Linked DNA regions of Tamandua tetradactyla. The protein of the gene in region 2 purifies or fractionates together with the protein of the main gene of each other region. This does not show direct contact. Links are inferred from orthologs where the notes say so. Each region holds a gene or a part of one and is shown on either strand. Other genes may lie near its edges.

The links.
Region 1: the proteins of ITGA2 (region 2) and ITGB1 purify together in Homo sapiens (co-immunoprecipitation; 3 studies listed by BioGRID and IntAct, with this or other methods). This does not show direct contact. The link is inferred for Tamandua tetradactyla from reciprocal best matches to the Homo sapiens genes ITGA2 and ITGB1.

The regions. Positions count from the first base shown.
Region 1 is NC_135327.1:218,122,396-218,133,284, forward strand, and holds the start of ITGB1 (integrin beta-1), read left to right. Parts: upstream 1-6,683; 5' UTR 6,684-6,708; intron 6,709-10,889.
Region 2 is NC_135335.1:99,081,104-99,091,685, reverse strand, and holds the start of ITGA2 (integrin alpha-2), read right to left. Parts: upstream 4,911-10,582; 5' UTR 4,829-4,910; intron 4,689-4,828; exon of another isoform or gene 4,633-4,688; 5' UTR 4,514-4,632; coding exon 4,453-4,513; intron 1-4,452. UniProt on the Homo sapiens protein: Integrin alpha-2/beta-1 is a receptor for laminin, collagen, collagen C-propeptides, fibronectin and E-cadherin. It recognizes the proline-hydroxylated sequence G-F-P-G-E-R in collagen.

The DNA.
Region 1 (10,889 bases), on a different chromosome or scaffold from region 2:
GGGCGGGCCGCGGTGGCTCAGCAGGCAAGAGTGCTTGCCTGCTATGCCGGAGGACCTCGGTTCGATTCCCGGCCCCAGCCCATGTAAAAAACAAACAAACAAACAAAATATAATAAAACAAGAAAATGTTTAAAGATGTTTCCCTTTCTTCCTCCCTTCCTTCCTTCCATCCTTCCTTCCTTCTCTCTGTCTTTCCTTCCCTTCCTCCCTCTAGAAAAAAAAAAAAAAAAAAAAAAAAAAAAAAAAAAAAATCATGGGGGATTTATTTGGAGCTCTTTAAAATGAAGATGACTCCTTAGAAGGGCAAACGCTTGTAAGATTTGAACTGACCCCTTGGAAAGTCCCAGGGTGAGCAAAATGCTTTCATGAACTTCCCTCATTCTGAGGCCTGTAAGATTTTAAGCCAATATCAAGCTGAGCAGTAAGAGTTTATGATTAGTTTTTCTCTTTTGAAAAAAATATTATCAATTGTAACAAATGGTCCACACCATTACATGGTATCAGTAATGATACGGTATATGGGAATCCTGTATTTTAAGCATGATTGTTTTGTAGACACACAACTTCTCTAGTAAAGAAAAAAAATACTTTTATTAGTTTCCTAGGGCTGCTGTAACATAGTACCAGATGCTTGGAGGCCAGAAGTCCAAAATTAAGGTGTCAGTGGGCCATGCTCACTTTGAAACCTGTGGAGAGGCTATTTCTTTGCCTCTTCTAGCTTCTGGTGTTTGCCAGCAATCCTTGGAATGCCTTGGCTTGCATCCCTTCCACTCAGCCTGTGTCTTCACGTGGCCTTCTCCTTATGGTCAGCTCCACCTCTGTGTCTCTGTATATGCCTTTTCTCCTTTTCTTACTAGGACACCAGTTACATGGGCTTAGGGGCCACCCAATTTGTCATGACCCCATCTTAACTTGATTACATCTGCAACAACCCCATTTCCAAATTAGGTCACATTCACAGGTGCCAGGGGTCAGGACTTGAACATATTGTTTGGGGGTCACAGTTAAACCCATAATAATACCACAGAACATTTATATAGTGAATCTAATTGAAAGGACATTCAAATCCATTTTTCTGTCATTCCCTCCAACAACCTCATGAGTCCATTACACAGACTATATTGTTATCTCTATTTAACAGAGAATATAAGCAACTTCCATGGCTAGTAAGTGGCAAAAACAGCTCATTCTGCCTCAAGACTATTGCTCCTTTTGGCATATAGTCAAACCTTAATAGAACCTACCAGTTGGCATCCAGTGTTTAAATGGCAGGATAAAGACATAGCTGACCCCTTCCATGCTGTCCTCTAGAAACATGAGACAGAGCTGAAGGATGATAAGTTATCTCAGCAGACCGCGAGGCAAGTAGAGGTGTAAGATGGTGCTTGATGCAAACTTGGACCCTACCCAGTATTTTTATCAGCAAGAAATCTAATGTTCCAATGTTTCATAGGTTGGTATGCTGGTTTGAAAGGATTATGCACCCTAGAAGAGCCATGCTTTAATCCTGATCCATCTTGTGGTGGCAGGTTCTTTTCATCCCTATTCAATGCTGTAGGCTGAAAACTTGATTAGGTTATCTCCATAAGGATGTGACTTGTCCAATTGTGGGTATTAACCTTGGATTAGAGGGAGATGTGACCCCACCCATTCCAGGTAGGCTCTTGATTAGTTTAATGGAATCCTTTAAAAGAGGAAGCATTTTGGAGGGTGCATGGGTAGTTCAGTGGTTAGAATGCCCACCTTTCATGCAGGAGACCTGGGTTCAATTCCCGGACCATGGACGCCCCGCCTCCCCACCAAAAAGAAGCATTTTGGGAAAGTCTTGAGATTCCAAGAGAGTAAAGCCATGAGGTGAGAGCCTCATGCAGCCAGAGACCTTTGGAGATGAAGAAGGAAAATGCCCCAGGGAGGGAGGTGGGGAGTTTCATGAAACAAGAAGCCTGAAGAGAAAGCCTGCAGATGCTGCCATGTTCACATGTGCACTTCCAGTTGACAGAAAAACCCTGAACTTCATCGGCCTTTCTTGAGTGAAGTGAACCTTGGTGCCTTAATTTGGACATTTTTATAGATATACTTTAATTGGGACATTTTCATGGCCTTAGAACTGTAACTTAGCAACTTAATAAATTCCCCTTTTTAAAAGTCACTCCATTTCTGGTACGTCGCATTCTGGCAGCTAGCAAACTACAACAGTTGGGGAATACCATCCAGCAGCCCAAGTCTGACACTTTCAATGGAAAAAAAAAAACATGTTTTACATTTGGGACTTAAGGAAAATGATTTCTGATAAATTTGAGAAGAATCAAAGAAAAGCAATAACCTCTGATGTGCTTTTCACCCTCTTGTCTTGAGTATATTGTTTTGTGACATCGTGTCCAAGCTTTACTAAATAGACCTTCTCGCTCAGAGTCCCTGTGGTTCTGAGGTGCTACAATTAGGGGTTGCTCTGCAGATGCTGCCAGACAATAAAAAAGGTCAGAAGTCACAGACGTGATTTTGACCCTTTGTCTTCTTCATTTGCTAAACCATGTGTGAAACGGGTGAGAAGGAAGATTCATTATAACCGAACTAATTCACACACAATGAAACTGACAGCACAAGACATTTTAACGGATTCTTTCCCAAGGTGCTACATTAGAAACTTGTCCTGAAAACATTCAGATTTCCATAAGAGGAATTTTATGGGCCCTGTATCTTAACATGCTGGCATATGGACAGTTGGCTTCAGGTCACTGTCCCCCAGCTCCCCACCCACCCCCCGCCCACTCCAGCTATGGGACATGGAAAGGAGGAAAACCACTTGACTCTCTAAGCATTCAGCAAGGGTCGGAGGGCTGATCTGCCTTCCCACGGCCTGCTGGGAGGACAGAATGGAATGAGGTTTGGGTTCTTGCTTTTGGAAGCTGCAGAGGTGATGTCATTAACACTCGGGCAGACGTCAGCAGTAATAACTGCGGGCTCCTTTTGAGTATTCTGCAGCTGATTCATTATCTGACAAGTTCCTCAGGCAGTTCTAAATCTTATCTTAAAATTTCCTGCCACTACTATCATGAAATTTTTTGAAAGCTTGGTTGAAAACCAATCTTCTTTATATTTTTAATAGTACTATCTTAAAACTAATATCACTACATCCTGTGATGCTTTGAGCTGAGTTCCGATCATTTCAGTAGACATGCAATTATAAAAAGCCACTTGTTACAACTTGCATTTAGATTGTCTTTAAACAATCAAGCTGGAAGCCTTTCTCTACTGCTTTTTGTTCAATTAGCCCTCACAATTGTTCTAAATTAGTAGCATTGCATAAGAATCTTGTCAGCATCACTTGGACAACAAAAAAATGGAGGAAACTGGAGAACCAAGCCTGCGATGTTACCACTGGGATAACCTGAAACCTCTACTGGTAATCTCCAATCTTTTGAAAAAACCAGAAATGAGGAGTGTGCAGGGATGCTGAGTGTTTGGGAAAGAGAGGATGAGTGAGTGAGGCTTGGAAAGAGCCCACATTGAAAATCCAGCTGCAGCAGCAGCAGCGGCAGCCACCAACAAAACAGCAGTGCTGTTGGTGAGCTAAGTAAGCACTGCCTTCATAGAAACCATACCATCGGCCATCTTGGGAAAGAGAAAAACGATGGGTTTACCTGCTTTAAAAAGAAAAAGAAAGCCAACTCTTCCCAGAAGAGGCTAGCAGTAGATTTTCTGACTTTTGGCTGGTGCTGAGTGGAATGATGGGTTTGGGAGAGGAGGAGGGACCGGGTTCAGCTGTGGTGCTTTGTTGTAAAAGGCAGCTTGGCCTTTGCTAGTCTGAAGAAAGATGGAGCCTGGATTTCAGGCTCACTTTCGGTGAACCTTTGCCACACAGTACAGTCCACGTGCAGGCTAGAAGGAGGGGGAGGGATTCTCTTCAGTCTGAGAATGAGTGTGTGAGAGTGAGGTGGCATCCACATCCTCGACTTCAAGTCATTGCAGTTTCTTTTTTTTTTCCTAGAAACAAAAAAATGGGGTGTGTGGGGGTAAGACGTTGCATTTCATAAAACTGACTGAAATTCTGTCTACTGATGCAGTACAAGAGATGTTAAAAAAAAAAGGGGGGGGAAGATGCTCTTGAAGTTTTTTGGATTTCATTTCGTTTAGTTTCTAAATTATTATCTTTTAGGGATAACATTGACAAATGGTCAGAGCTCCCATCCTGATATTTTCATCGAGGCATCTTTCCTAAATATGGTTCAACTATGAATGTAGAATGTGGGTGGGGGGAGAGAAAAAGAAAACTCTGGAGTTCAAGGATATAGAAAAAATTAGAACACAATTGTTACAAATAAAGACTGCCGACTTCAAAAACAAAAGCCGCAACCCAAACAAAACAAAAGTTTAATGCTTAGAATTGGCAGCACAAAAGGAGATCTCTCTCCTGACTTTGTATGATGCATGGCAGTCTGAATGCTCACAGAAAATGGTGCCAAAGAGTTTAGGAAACAAATATAAAATAAAAGAAAATGTGCATATGCATAAGCAAAACAGCAAGTTTCAGGTAAGTATTTTGGATTGCAAACAAAGATAAATTTAATGTTCAAACCATCTGATAAAATAGCCATTTGGAAACCAAAAAAAAAAAAAAACAAGAACCTTGTAAACATCTAGTTTCTTGCTATTCAATAGGATTAATTTCAGTAATTTTGCTACCAAGTTGTCCCGCTGGCAACACAAAGCCATGGGGCCAACACCAGGCATGGATGGGAGAACAAATATACCAATGAAGGACTGGTCTTTATAAGTGTGCAACTGAATGAGGGCAAAAGGTACCCTGCTCCTTAGCTGGGGAGTCACCAAAGACACCCAGTGGAAAATAAATCCATCAAGTGGCCTGGGGAGAAAACTACCTGGAAAGCCTGCCCTACTCCCTGTAATTTCCTAAGGATTCTGTCGTGGTGTTTTTCATTGCACATTACACAGTGTGCCTCAGAATCCCCAATACCTTTCTGCAGGCGAGAAAGGACAGGCAGCAGTCAGACCCACAGTTGTTTAAATAACTATAAATGAGCCGGTTTAGTCATTTAAACAGAGAGCTGTGCTAAAGAATGTCATAATATCTGTCAGAACACCAGTTTGTGGTTTTCAAAAAGGACAGATGGGTGCGGGCTGAAAACATGGCATAGCCTCTCAGAAAGAACTGACATGGCCAGGCAGGCGGCACAACCACAAGTCCTGATGATTATCAGTTGCCTGGCCACTCCCTACAATATGAGCCAGTGTCTGTCCTCTAAGAGAATATCTGAAAATAAAGCAGCATTTAGTGTACGGCTTGAGAGTTCCCTCCGCACGGGACGGCTGCGGCAGTGTGCCAGGAGGACCACCCGTCAAGGATGGGAGGCCCCAGCCCAGCTCTGCCACTGGCTCACTTTCTGGGAGACAAGGGCACGTCCGGCAAATGCTCTGGGTCTCTGGGTCCTCATTCCTAACAGCAAGAACAATAGGAGCCCATCTGCCTTGCAGAATGGAGGAGAGGATGAAGAAATCCAATCCAAAAGTATGCACTGGGCTCACAGTGTCCCCAGAAGCATAGGTGAGTAGGTGGGGGTGGGGGGCGAGACGGAAGTGGGTAAGAAGTAGGGTCTGGCCTGGACCATTTCACAATCTATTTGGGAGGAGAGAGGGCATGTGAAATAATGGCAAACCATGTGACAGTATCTGGGCAAGCACTCAGCTATGAACTATAACCTACAATTCCTCCAGGACTTGACAGCAAGGGAGGGTGCCAGGGATCCTGAAGGGGGAGGAGGGTTTGGTTTGGCAAAGGAGGGAAGAAGGACAGATATTCCTCGCGAGAGCAGGTAGGTTGATGGAAACCTGAAGACAGCAATGAGCAGGGCTTGTTCATGAGGTAGGCAGAAAGCTCAAGAAGAGCCGTGCAAAGTTAAATACAAACGAAAAAAAAAGAAGAGCCATGGGAAATGATTGTAGAGGTCGGATGAAACCAGAAAGAGGCAACAATGAGACCAGACAGAGGAGGTGATCCAGGAACAAAAAGAAACTTTATTTTCTCTTTATTTCCTTATTTCTCATCCACAGGGTTCCAGGAGGTTTTCAAGGTGTGTAAGGAAGGTCAGTCTGGCAGTAGCATGAAAGCTGTTCAGATGACCCGCTGTGTCCAATTCGTCAAAAGTGTTTGAACCAGAGTGACTACGAGAACGTCTTCTCTGTTTGAAAGATGAATTTTACACTGATACATTTTTTTTTTTTTGCTTTTCTCTATTGGGGAGTCACGTCAAGAGCATTCTGAATGCAGTTGACTTTTAATAACTACTGTGATATTTTTACACTGTGCAGTTACTCACGAAGCCTGTATTTTGAGTGTAGTTTTCTTGATTCTTCTCATTTAGATAGGACATCCATTTCTGCTCTACATTTAGCAATAAATGTTCGACATTGGGTCCCCTTAATTGTTTTTTACACGTGAAGCTCTGAAGCTGGGAAGGCAGAAGTGGTTGTAGAGTTCATCCATCCTTATTTGAATCAATGCATTAGTTTTCTGAACTTTAGCTGTCGGTTCTTAGCCGCAAGGTGAAATTCCAGCTAAATACACTAGATGGCAGGCAATAACTACATTCTGCTCATTCCATTCTATATTAAAACAACAACAAAAAAACGAAAGCCTCAATATGGAAAACTAAGCACAGCGACCCACAGTCTTTTGTCCCCTGACCTCAGGTAAGAAAACTCAAATTTTTATGCCCAGCATCTGTCTGCACCGCACTGAAAAAGTGGGGGGCATATTTTCAGACTATTAAGACGGTAGTCTCCTTTTTTCTTTTTTTGTTTGCTTGTTTTCATGGGATTTTTTGTTGTTATTGTTTAATTGATTTTCTCTTTAGTGTTTTGTCCAAGGTAGAAAAGAAACCCAGAAATGTGGAGGGAACAGATAATGAAAGTGGAGATGATGGCATTATGAAGTGAGATTATACTGACTATAATGCACTAATTTTTTGTTTTTACAAGGTAGGGGTAGGTACATTGGGGATGAAAAAGGCAGTGGGACTTGGAACTAGAAAGTGTAAGGTATGATTAGGATGACTAGCAATGGCTAAAAGCCACACAGCATGATCACCAAAGAACCCTTGACAGGATCCCAGAAATCTCCTGGCAGTCCAGGGCTCAGAAACGCTACTAAAAGTTACTTTAAACATCTACTTTATGCCTCTGTATAGGACCATACTTAAATCAGATTAGTAGGGAAAAGCCCAAATTACACTTCAAACCTGCCTCCAATATTGAATTGCTTTGCATCGTGGATTATTATTTGTTTTAAATAACAAATCCACTGAGTGCCTATTTTGTGCACCATGCTCTACAGTGAGTTCCCTTATATTGAAGTAATAGAAATGTAATAACTATCATCTCCACCCTAAAGGAGTCTAAAACCTATGAAGCCCGTGAGACTTCTGCATATTTTTAATATTCTAACAATAGTCAATGTCCTTCTATTCATTCTCCAGTTATATTTCGAAAGTATCATAGTTTTATTTGAGCATGAAATTTGGGTGATATTCCGTTAACAATTCCCCTGATAAAGTCTCTGATATTTTTACACATCTAGTTTGAAATGTCACCAAGAAAGCTATCCATTTAAAGCTAGTTAGATCCTATTCCAAAGATTTCTTATTTCTGCACATTTCCTTAAATCTCTGGTCATTCCGAATAACCTGGAGGTTTTGAATGGCCATCTTCGCTAGGAAAAAACTGATGGATTTATTTAGAGTTATGTTTCTGCAAGATAGGCCATTGTATAGGTTTGCTCTCTCCCCGGAACTTCCTCTCCTCGTCGCGCTCTCCATATTTAAAGTGGGATGAACTGTTCCTTTGCGTAACAGCAGGCAGCGTTGGGTCCTAATAAACGAATCGCCGAGGGGCAGCATAGCGTGGTGGGCGCCCACTGCCCCTGCCATCCGCCCCATTCAGTGGCGCCTCGCTTGCTTGCTCTGTTTAAGTGCAGCCCAGCTCCTCGCAGTTTTGGGGACAATCACACGTGGTAGCGAAGCAGGGCTTCGGAGAACAGCCGCGGGACTACAGCGAGGGAGACCGCGCCGGCTGCGAGGCGGAGCCAGGCGGGCTGCTGGGCGGAGCTAGGCGGCGTTCCCGGGCTAAGCTGCCACGTCTCCCAGGCCGCGGCCACCCCCCTTCCCCCTTTCTGGGTCCCGGGGTCCGGCGAGGGAGGGAGGGGAGACCACTCTGTGAAGATCACGTCTTCCCTTAGGGGCTGAGTAAAAGCACCCTGAGGATGCAACCGCCTTAATCATTGCCTTTCACCATTTTCAGGACAGAAACTATAGCGGCCGCCAGGGGTATAAGGTTTTTGTTAGTGAAATTTCACTTTCCGGTGTTCCCGGGGAAGCCAGGCTTCTGTGTGAGCCCCATGACCATATATAGGTAGAAAACTGCAGGACGGGGGGATAAAAAAAAAAAAAAAAAAAAAAAAAAAGAGGACCCGAGGAGCAGCCTGAGTCAGTTGCCTTAAGGATGAGTGATTTTTGCAAGGGTGAGGATGAAATGCGCCTTCAACATACTTTGTTGCTAGCAGGGTTGAGTCTGCAGATGAATCAAGAGACAAATCAGAAAAAGGAAGTGTCGCAAATGCCAGCACACTCACGGAAATCCGAAGGCATAAGAGGTGTTAAACAGTTATTAAAATTCTGGAAGACTGATGAAAGACAGGCATTCCTCAAGCTGGAGGGATTTTTTTTTAAATAACTTACTGTCTGTTTCTATATTTACTTATTTTTTATTTCAAGAAAACAAAAAAAATATGCCGATAGAAACAAACTACCTTAGGATCTAGCACAAAATCTCTGAATCAGAAGCATTGTAGGTTAAAGAAATGCGAATATGGGTTCTAGGCATGAGGTGACCTTGCTGACAAGTCGAAATTATTATGTATGTGTACGATCATAGTTTTGATGTTTGTGACATATTAGTCACTGGCAGACTGAAAAATAGAATAATCAAGAATTTTAACTAGACAGATTTTAAGAGGAGGAAAAGCATGTTTAAAAAGAAGAGTTTCCTAGACTCTTGGATGAATATTTGGAAAAAGAGTTGGGAGCTTTTACGTCTATTTTTGACCCTTCCATTTTGCCAGTTTGAGTATAGCTCTTTCTACCTCATTTTTCCACTAATAAAATAGTAATCATATCTATAGCTACTTAGGTGTTGGTATTCTATTAACATTTTCTGTCGTCATGCCCATAAAGCATTTTGAATCTCTTGGAAGAAATGGATTATCATTTCTAAAAATTTTTCTGTCTCAGCCTATTATCATCTGATAATCAACATTATAAAGCTGTAACATGGAAAATTTAAACATTACAAAACAACCAAAGTGAGCCATAAGCATACTCTTGAATTTCATTTAAAATAACAACAAAAAAAGTAACTATTTTGTGCAAATTAACCAGGGGAGCACCTCTTTGGCAATGCTCTTTAAAACTATCTGAGCAAAATGATGTAAGAAACCAAATAATTACACAGTGAGTTTTTCCTTGTGTAACAGAGGGGAAATACATTTTTCCTCCAAAAAAAGAGTATTTTTCCACGAAATAGACTATCTTTAACTTTTTAATAGATATTCACATTATCCTTATGGAAAATTCAAACAATACAGGAATGCAGAAAGAAAAGCCCGAACAACCCTAAAAACCCACACTTCCCAGATATAATATCCTGCCAGGCCTCTTTCTTAGAATACACACACACATGCAATCATAATATAGATCAGCTTCTGCAATGTGCTTTCTTCACTTAAGGAATGTTGTGTAATTTTACAGATTAATGTGTATAGATCAACCTTATTCTTTTTATTAGCTGCAGCCATGGACTGAAATATAACAATTTATTTAACCCATGGCTTCTAGATGAACTCTATGGTGTTTTCCTATTACAGAAAACCCTGCAGTGAACAGCAGTGAATTTTTGCGTACATGAGCAAGGATTCCCATTAAATAAGTGCTTATACGAGGAATTTTCTGAGTCAAAATCTTACTTTTTTTTTTTTCAAAGTCTTACACTTCTAAAACATTGGTTTAGGTTTTCAAATTGTCCCCCTCCCCCCCCAAAAAAAAATCCTTAGCAGTGTAGGGGTCCACAACAGCCTGAGTGTCCAATGTATGTTGGTGGTAAGGTTTTTGCCAATGTAGTTATTAGAGTAGGTTTTGACATTTTAACCATTATGTTATTATGACCAGAAACAACCTCCTATCCCCTGCAAAAAATGACTCATTTAATCCAAACAATCAGTTCCCCTTCCCTTGGGCTTTCCACCGCAGAGGAATGAATGAGAAACAGTGCCCACTTTATTAACTACACAAGTACACAAGGATATGGAGAGGAGGTAGCATGGTATCGAGCATTTGAGGTAGAGGAGGTGCCGCCCACCCTGCTCAAGCCCAAAGCTAATCTCGCGATTCTCACACACCTTCTAACTGGTCCTGATGCAATGCGGAGCATGCTAGGTACCCCATGCAGAGAGGAAGCGGTCCAGGTCAGATGCAACAAAGAGGAAAGGTGGGCGGGGCGAGGTGGAGCCAATCGTGGGCTCATCCCTCTTACCACCCAGCGTTTCTGCCCACAAATATATATGAAGCAAATTCTCCCTCCCTGGAGGAGAGGCTAAGAAAGGCCAACGGGGCAGGGGGGGGGGGGGTGGAAATAAGTGGCAGAAATTTCCCCTCCCCTACTGTTGTTCCTGTCCATCTTCTCTTCATTATTTAAGTTTTCATGTGTTATTTTTTTCCCTTTATTCACTGGACAGTTCTGTATTATGTAATTCTACTTGTGGTAATTATTTCCTTTTAACAAGGAAATTTGAAACTGTATTTCTCTATGAGAATCAAAGTTCA
Region 2 (10,582 bases):
ATTGTTTTCAAATGTCGAATTTAAATCAAACAGTGGCATGTGAACCGTTATTTAAGAGGAGCAAAGCTTAGCTAAGGCTCTTTAGGTGTAGCTGGCGAGCCACCGTGGGCAGGGGGAGGCAGTTTACCTTGGAGCTGGGGAGAAGAGGAGAGAGGTGGTTTAGGGAGGGTTTCAGAATTGAGTCATTATCACAAACTCCTCATTCTGAAATGAAAGAAAAACCTCCTTACTTTGTAATTTGCTTGGGGTTGGCTCTCCTGACATTGGACAGTGGTCAGTTGCAAAGGGATAGATTATTCTTCCTGAATGTGCAGGCTGCATTCAGATGAAAACCTGAGAATTCACGTTTTGTGTGAGGCATAAAAAACACAAGAACTGACTTCACTCTTCTTATTGCCTTCTGTCTCCGGCTCCTTCTCATTCCCCATTCCCATCCCAAACAATATGGGCCCATTCCCTGACCAAATTGCCACCTTTGAATACAGGACTGGGCTGCTCAGTGAAACCTAAAGAATCTTTTGGCCATACCTTCAAAGGTATCTCACAGAAAATGCAGAAAAAGGAAAAGCATCAACGCAGTGAAGGTTAATGGAATAGCCTGGAAAATCTTTGAACATAAATATGGGATGATTAGGTGAAGTCAAAACATAGAATGACATTTATATATAATTTGGGGGCTATGTGTATGTGTGTGCAACTGTATTTATGACGTGTATGTGTGTGCTGGAATGGATGTGTTGGAGAAAGGACTGAATAGACAGGCTGTGGCCAGATGAAGGACTTTTTATGACATGCCGAGAAATTATGACTTCACCCTACATGGGATGGGAGCCATGTAGGATAAAACAAGAGAGTGATGCGTGAAGCAAGACATTGACTGGCTACAAATAAGTTCTTTAGAAAGAGAACATTGGTGACAATGAGGAAAAGGGTCTGGAGGGATAAGAGACTAAAAATAGGAAAACCAATTTAAAAACCGTAATAGCCTGGATATACACAAAGTGAGTGTGGTAAAATGAGGTTGAAAGCAAGAGAAAAGGTTGCTGGCTTTAGTGTTTACATAATAACACTGCTGTTAAACATTAGTAGATGGTATAGGAGAAAATTCCAGAGGGCTAGTGTGAAATCAGTTTAGGAAATGTTGAGATGGAAGTGCTTACAAGACATCTAGGTAGAGATATTTAGTAACAGATGGAAATACAGATCTGAAGCTCAGGAGAGGACTCTGACCGGATATATACACTTGAGAGGGGTACTTGCTCAGAGAAAATTGTTCGTAGCTCTGCATACACTAAAAAGGAATAGACCAAACAATTGAGTCGCTGATGGAGACTAAGAAAGAACTTCCAGGACAGCAGGAGAAAATCTGAGAGCTAACAGAAGCTGGAAGTGGAGTTTGCTTCAGAAGAAAAGAGTCGCCAAACAATTAAATATAAAACAAAGACTTTTTTTCTCACTATGAGATTAGAGTATTTACACAGCAAGGAGAAATTACATTAGAGAGAATATGAAGATACTACTTTTAAAAAGGGATGACTAGAGCAGACAGCAGTGGCTCAGTGGCAGAATTCTCATCTGCTGTGCTGGAGTCCCGGGTTTGATTCCCGGAATCTGCCCAGGCAAAAAGAAAAGAAAAAAAAAAGGGATGACTGATTAGGTAGGGTAGATTCAGAATCCAGGTAGGATTATCCTTAGCCAAGCAAAACACTAGAGAATGTAAGTGATGCCATGTATTTTAAAAGCACATTTACCTTTGTTCTGTGGGTCTATAATTTAGTTTACAGAATATCTAGACATCTTATGGTGTCTTCCATCCTTAACTTGCCAGTGATTATGAGCACTTAAAGAACAACCAATCAAAGGTGATACAACTAAATTGTGAGTACTGCTTTTTCTTAAACACCTGTGAGAAGATTTATGGAAAGCGAGTTTGAATCTAAGATTTAAAATGTGATTTGAGGGTCATGTGTTTCTAAAGTAGTTTGCACGTATGACGGAGAAGATGCTAGATGTAAAAACACAGACGTATGCTTTTAAATTTTGGTATCTGTTTATAACACTGTTGTACATGTACAATATGTAGAAATACAAACAATTACACGTGTGTATAGTAATGATAAATGCTAAAATATTTATACAAATAGGTTTAACCATGAAAAAATGCAGATACCACTGATTGAGCTATTTCATTTATTCTCAGATAATTATGGCATTCAAAAAATGCTGCTGCTGTTCTAGGCACCTCAATTAATAACACAAATGACAAGTTTTATAATAATCCTTTTGAAGTAAGAAAAACCTGTTCCTCAAGTATGTCAATATATGGAGTGGAATGAGGGAAAAAATACATGAATTACTTTTTCAGATGTCATTTTAAATCACCTCTGTTTGCGATGAGTTGTTCTTATTAACTAACTCCAGGCTAAAATCTCTGAACCTGACTACCTGCCTGGCAGCAACACATTCCACTCACTGCTCTTTAAAGAACAAGCCTCAACACTTCAACGATAAGAAAATGATGTTATATTTCCATAGTTTCTTTTAATACTGGGTAATTAAAAGAAATGAAAAGCTTAGATTTATTTTTCTACTGGCTCTTGAGACAGTGATGATATAAGAAGAAAGTGATCTTATAGTGATGATTTTCAATATAAAATTCTACTTTATCTGAAATCCCTAGGTTAGAGTTGATGCCCCCCCCCCCCCAAAAAGCTCTTTTGTATGTATTTCCAGTGTTTAGGATAAGACTGACATGAATTCCATCAAAGACATTCCCTCCAATCTCTCCCAGAGCCCTACAAACTAACCTTTCAATGTAAGTGAATACTATAAATATTAACATGTGGAAATGTATAATGTTAATCTGAGTGTGACTGTCTTCAAATCATAACCTGGGGGACATGATAACCTGTTGCCTTTTTATTCTCTGGTCCATATCCCTTCCCATCTTTCCTTTGACATAGGGCTTCCATCCTTTCTCATCTCCACACTACTCATGAAAGAAGTCTGGCCAAATAACCAAATAATAATGCATGAGCTGAAAGAAAGAAAGAGGGAAGAGAAAAGAGAGAAAACATAATGAAAATGCCAAATTCAATAGTAACAAAATCAAAATATTAATACAAGAATTGCCCGACAATCACAAACCCGAAATAATAATACTAGAATTGCTCAAGAAATTCCCAAGGATTTATGCAGGTGTATTTGCACTGAAATTCCAAGCACACACATTTGGAAATAATGATCCCAGGAGAGAATATCTATGAAGCACCAGTCACAGGGTCAGACAGAAAACCTAATTGTCCCCATTCAGTTTGGAAAGGAAGGGAGTGGGTGTGTGTTGTGTGCGTTATTTCTCTCTTATCTCTGACCTAGAAAAATAGCCGCAGGATTGGAACCAAGTTTCTTCCACAATGAGAAATATGGACTGGCTGAAAGTAAGCCCCAAAAGGCCATCTTTGAAAAAACACTTCAAAATCAGAGGTGTGTGTGTATGTGCGTGCGTGTGTGTATGCATGTTAGCTGTTCAAACTACAAGATACAAATGTGAGCAGTGTCCTTCCAAGTAAACCAAAGTTCTTAAACATAAGCACACGCTGGGCTCCGATCAACGCAGGAGAAGGTCCTGCAGACAATCGCACAGCAGCCGCGCACGCAGCGAAAGAAGCGAGACGGTGCGGGAGCCCCACTCCCACCACTGCGGTTGGAGCTCGGGTTGATCCCTTCCCCCTCTCCCTGCGGCCTCAGAGATCGACAAAGTCAAAAGAACTTTTCCTGGCCTAAGTTTACATTCGTGAACAGAAGACACTGCAACAATTAGAGGAAGGCAGAAGGGCTGGAGGAGCTACCCTCAGCCAAGTATTTAAAAAGGCACTTGGTTTATCTAGGCTCCCTATGGAAGGAAATGCCAGCGTTGCTTCCTCAAATGAGAAATGGAGGCATTATTCATTCCCTTGGGAGAGCACTTGAAAAATCAGCGTGCTGGACTCCAAGTCTCTCTGGAAAGCCACCAGGAATTGCGCTGAGGTGCTGCAGGGTGAAGGGGACATCGGGGACGGGATTCCGGGGAGCCACAGGAACCCGGGCGGGCTACTGGGCCGGAGAGACACCTGTCTGAGCAGGGGTGGGGACAGGCTGCAGGACTCGCGGTCTCCAAGACACCCCCATCATCCCCACACCCTCCATGTATATGTGCTCACGCGAGTTCCTAAAACCACAGTGTTCACTGAAATGCCTTAGGGTGAGATACGTCTTATGGGGACGCGAGATCCCTGGCTAGTGGGAACGGGGGATCTCTTTTCCAACCCGCTCTGGATGGCTGGGAGCCTGGGCCACGAGAAATCAGAGCCGGGTCTCACCCGCTTGCTGCCTCGTCCCCAATAATCTCTCCCTCACACTCCCCACCCCCGGAACCCACACCTCACTCTTGCAGCGGATGCTGATCACGCTTACCTTGACTGAGCACCAATAGCCGCAGCGGCAGGGGCGCGCCCGCAGTCCGTCCCGGCCGCATCCTGAGTTTACCCGGGCGGGGCGGGGGGGGAGTAGCTGCTCTGGGTTTGCAAGGGTGGCTTTGGCTGAGGGCTGCAAGAATCCGGAGACTCCCCAGGAACCGTTCGAGGGTGTCTCTTCCTTGCCCGGGTGAAAGCAGGGAAAAGTTGCCGGGCAGCTCCAGGGGCGCCAAGGGCCCGCCCCGGCCCGCCCCTCCCGTCCGGGCAAACACTGGATCTGCCCGGGCCCCGCCCCGCCGAGGCCCCCCTCCCCCTGCCGCCTCCCGCCCCGCGGGCTGCACCTCGGCTTCTCCAGATCCCGGGGAGCCACACCTTACCTCCCTTACTGGGTTCCACCCCGGGAGCCCGGAAGCGGGTGGAGATGAGGACGACACGCCTGTCAACCTTTTTCGCACTGGACCGGACTTGGCCCCCGCACTTCCGACGGGGAAATCCAGCCCTGTCACTCCCCCGCCCCCTGACGGCCCGAGCTCTGCCCCCGGGTGCCCAGCGGAGCTGGCAGCAATTGGGAGGGGCTTGGGACCCACGAACACCCTAGCGAGTTCTGAGAGGCTTCACTGCTTTTTCCAGCCGGACAAAAATTAATGCAGAATGACCAGGTTAGAAACTAACTCCCCAGGGTAAAGCTTTGCACACGAGTTAGGATTACCCGACGTGATATTTAAGTAAGAGCAACGTGTGTGTGTGTGTGTGTGTGTGTGTGTGTGTGTGTGTGTGTGAGAGAGAGAGAGAGAGAGAGAGAGAGAGAGAGAGAGAGAGAGAGAGAGAGAGAGAGAGAGAGAGAGAGAGAATCATCGTTCTACTCCTTCGAGATAAAGGAGGAGCTGATTTGATTGTTGAGTTTAAGCGATTTGCTTCAAGACAGAGAGGGACGAGAATCTGCACATGAACTCATGACCCTTCTTTGTCGGAATTACATGTGACCATTTTCTTCCATTGTTTCAGTCTTAGATGTGGAAAAAGAACGTTCTAGAATCATACCTGAGATTATTACTTATAAACTTAAGAAAATGGAATATTTGCGTTTCTTCTCAAAATCTGGTTTTCCTCTAAAGTTTCAGCCACAAATTCCCAGCACGTTGCTGAAACCAGAATTCTCTCAGTTACTTTGATGAAGCAATGGGATGTTTTAATAATTAAACTAGGGAGTTGTTAGTCTATTCATTACTGTTTCCACCGCTGCAAATCTTTATGGAGCATCTGCTATGAAAAGGATGGAATGCCTGAGATCCTGCTACACTGAAGTGAAGGGGTTCATGATGGGAAGCACATAAAAATGAGTTAATCAGTAAAAATAAAATTTGCCCTTTTGTCGTAGCAACAGCTGGAGTCTGGTATTTTAAAGTATTAAAGCAGTACTTATCAGGGGCCACTGCTTGTGAATAAAACCTAAACCTGGATGCCTTTCAACCACAAAGTTTATAGCCCCAGGTTCTTTCCTGTTTCTTACTAATGCTACTTACTAATCCTGACACACTTAAAGCTATTTTATTTTCCTGACCTGTCTGTGGACACACCTGCTTACGAAGATTCCAGCTATCACCTGAGAGCTCCTAGCTGGCTGCTCACTAACCTTGACACACACACAACCTTGATCTATTCACGGACTTCTTGAGGGAAGTCAGCCAGGTTTAAGGGAGATGAATATCTGTCTGTTTCCTTCTGACTCACTGAAATGTGAGCATGTGTTAGGAACAGACCCTGGTTTGAGAGGCAGGATAGGTTCCCTTAATGGGGGAGGGGACGGGCTGGAACTTATGCTTTGTCTCTGGGTGCTGGAGAGGAAAAGGCACCGTTCTTTACTTTTATGACCAGAACTGGGCAAATTAATATTACTCTAGCATGAGGTGCAGAATAAATTAAGAGCAACATTTTCCAGTGCAGGCAAAAGTTCTAAAAAACAAAGCACAAATTCTTATCTTACTTTGAGTGTAAAGCATTCCTTAGACCAAAGAGTTTAAGAACTCCATGGCCTTACTCTTCCTGGGATTTCTCCTTTCTAGGTGTGTTTATGCTGAATACCACATTCTGAGTAGGGAATAAAAAAAATAGTGTTAGTTTCTAAAAACTAGTTAAATGTGGATCTGAAATAATGTCAATTATTTGATTGTACTCTGTTGCATTAAAATTCATTGGCATATTGAGCATCTTAAATTGATCTTTTGTCTGTACAAAATTTTGTGACATCATTCATTGGTCATTTGGAAAATATTGATTCACGAGTTATGCAGATCTTCCAATTGTTGGCACATTTATTACACAATATCAAAATATCATTTTTTTTATCATCATCAATCTAGTCTGAAAAGTCTTTAAGTATAAGGAAGCTCTCAATCTACTCATGCTGGTGGATATGTATTTTCCAAAATTTGAATTTTCACCTGAAAGCTTGAATTTTATTATTGGCAACAAATCCTGTCAGTTGTGTTGCTTGAAATGACAAGCCCACTTTGCTCATTTTCAGGAAATGCCCATCAAATACGCAAGTCTAAATAACCATACTTTGCCTCTCAGTCATTCTTTTAAGTAAAAATGGTGTTCCATGGAAAAAGTGGCCAGTTCAGCTTACACATCCTCGGACAACCATCCTGCTTCAGTGTACAGCAGAAGTGCATTTTATGTACTCTTCTCAGATTCAAGGATTAAGAATGTTAAAAAGACATATTTTCAAAGGTCAAAATTTAATAAAAGTAATTTTTAATTGTTTCATCAAAGACATTCTTGACTGAAAGGAAACTTCTTTCCTTCCTTTCTTCCTTCCTTCCATCTTTCCTACCTTCTTCCTGTCTTCCTACCACCCTTATTCCTTCTTTTCTTTCGTCCTCTCTTCCTTTCATCCTCTCTTTCTCTCATACTCTAAGTGTCCAAGGGTAGAGACAACAATGATTACTAGTACCCATGACTATTCTCGCACCATTAGGACAAATATCTACCCAGTGAGAAAAGCAAATAACATCTCAGTATTCTTATGAAAATATTTTTAGACCTCATTGCCCACCTGATAGGTGTTACAGTCATCCAAGGACCAAACTCTGAGATCCACCAGGGGATGGAGTGAGACCTTCGTCTTTCCACTCCTTTCTTTCTCTAAGCTCTAAGCAGGTGTTTTGTTGGGGCAGGGGGCTCAATATTTTCAGGGTATAGAAATTCCAGAGTCTTCATTGGGCACATGGACTGGGAATTCATGTTGATCTGCAGCAACTATTTTTTTCCAAGAGCATAGAGAAAGTCTATATGCAGCTATTCACAGAAAGATGAGATGAGGGAACACGGAGCTGTGGAGAGACAGCCAGCCCCCCCCACACACACACACTGATACACACACACAGAAGAGAGGGATTGGGGAATTAATTATGTTTCCAGTCACACGTGAGACCAGGCTTAACTCCCTACCTTTAGCTTCATGAAATGCCCGTTTCCTCTGGATAATTTTTATTTCTCTCTTCTGCTACTTTAAGCTGGTTTCTATCACTTGTAGCAGGCTCTCTTTAAGACATGTCTTTCTCCTATGGGAAATCCTTAAGTATAGTGAATAGATCTCATTGACTTCTTTTACTTATAGTCTTCTCACAAGGCCTGATACAGATTACATTCGCTATAAATGTTTGTTCAACTGGTGAATAAATGCATTTGTTCAACTCATAAATAATGTCTTAACTTATTGAGATGAACCAGAAAAAAAGAAGTTGTATTATTCAGGGTTCTGCAGTGAAACAGAACTGACATATATACACATACTTACATTTTATATATATATATATATATATATATATATATATATACACACACACATATATATATACATACATTTATTATAGGAATTGGCTCATATGACTATGGAGATTGGCTAGTCCAGGCCACAGTTGGGAACTCTGATGAGCTGGATGAAGTTGAGATAGAAATTCATCTTTCTGACTGCTAAAACCAGCAGTTCTCCCTTTAGGGACTTCAAATAATCTGATGAAACTTCTCTTGTGGCTAAAGGCAATCTCCTTTGTTGATTGTAGATGCAATCAGCTATAGATGGACTCAACTGACTGATTATTTAAATCCTCCAAATACTCTCACTGTACCAATCAGGCCAGGGTTTGCTTGGCCAAACAACTGGACACCATAATCTTGCCAAATTGACACATAAACTTAACCATGGCAGAAGTCAAGTCATTTATTTCTTAGAACATGAAGAGCTCAACTAAAGGGGAAACTTTATTCATAAGAACGTCAGATTTTTTTAAAGAAATGTATCATATAATGTATCAAACCAGTTGCGTGGCTATCTGCTTTCTGTTCTCTCTGGAAAAAGATGCTCCTCTTAGAGACCTGGTGTTTGTAAGAAGGAAAACAGACAAAGCACCTCACTTAAACTAGCCTAAGTCAGAGTTGAGTTAAAGGAAAGGATTTGAGGAAATTTCAAAGAAAACAGAAACATGGATTACAATCTGGTCTCAGGGTCTTGGAAGTCGAGACTAGAAAGAGAAGAACACAGTTCACTGTGTACCACTTTTAGTGATTGCCTGATTTCCTGGCTCTGCCTCCTTGCGTGTGCCTGCTGCATTCTCCTCACTGTAGACTGACTTCTTCCGTGTTAATTACTCATCATTTCCACTGCCCTGTAACTTCAACTTGCAAGTGCCTTTAGCTTTGCATGGCCTGACTCCAGTTCAGAGTCTATGAGACCTAATTTTAACTCAATAAAAGGGTCTTCTTCAGTTTGATGGACTCACAATTTCTCTCCAGATGATATTTTCTTCTCAAAGTCCTCTGTCAAGGTTACACACTTTATGATTCTTTTGGTTGCTTTTATTCTTACCTTAAGCCAATCGTTCTACAGTTTAAATTTTAGTGCTTCTCATGGATGGCACTTCATTTTATTTGGAATAATTTTCATTGTGCCATTTAGATTGGAATCTGTCCTTTTAGGTGGAAACACATATCAAATGTTTAACATCAAAATGTCAAGCAAAGCCAATTTTGCCATTAGCATTTTCTTGACTGACAGACCCCAGTATGCTTTATTTATACATCAAAAAAATGAAATCAGCGATTTAAAAAATTATGAACTTCAGTTTTACCAGGATCTCTGTCTTAATTACGTCTAAATCTTCCCAGTTTCTAAATCCCCATTATGCTATATGATAAAACAACAGCTACTATTCGTGGCTCAAAATCTTTGGCCCATTTCATGGTCTTCTAATATTAATCTCTAAGTGTCCAGCATAATTATTTTCTGAACTTTTTACCTCTCTTTACTATAAATTCTAACAAGTTTCTTCACTTGGATTAAGTTGAGAACTTTCTAATAACTTCACTTTCTTTCTCTATTCATTACTTAATCCATATTTTTTTAGCAGCTACCAGGTACAAAATAATGGGTCAAGTACTGTGATGAGACCAATATATATATGTAGCATTAATTGTAGTGAGCTTCAAATCTCATTATCAAACATTGTCCTCAGAGTCTTGCTTTAGCTGAAATCAATGTAGCATATAAGCAGAGAATATCAAAGTTCACTCTGGCTTATGCCCGTCAGTGGAGTGTAAGAACATTTAGCAATGTTTCCTGTAGAATCAGTATGACTCTTTATAAAAGTGTAGGTATATGAAAGTGGCTTTTACTGTTAAAAAAAAACCCCTCTATCTCTATAGATAAGTGGAGATGCTTCAAGTCTTAAATTTGAACATGTTTAAAAGTCCTTAAAACCATGACTATTTACAGGGAATGCTGTAGTTATAAAGTTCATTTTCTTCTTAGTCACTCTATGGCATACACATAGAGGTAGTGACTTTTGCACATTTGTTAACTGAAGCTGTAAATGAGGTCCAACTCACATAAATGCCCAGATGTTCTCCCCGCACTGTTTTCACTTGCATATGTAGGGTTCTCAACCCCTGCACTATTTCTTGAACCCCCAGGTTATGTTTTACAGATGCTCAGAGATCTTTGCTGGCTGCTGTTGGATGCTGCTACTTGAGGTCTGTGCTCTAAACAGTCCCGGTTTCTTTCTACAACTCGTGATGGTATTGGTCTTCCTGATGCCTGGCAGGCTTGAGGGTCTGCTTTAAAATGAGAA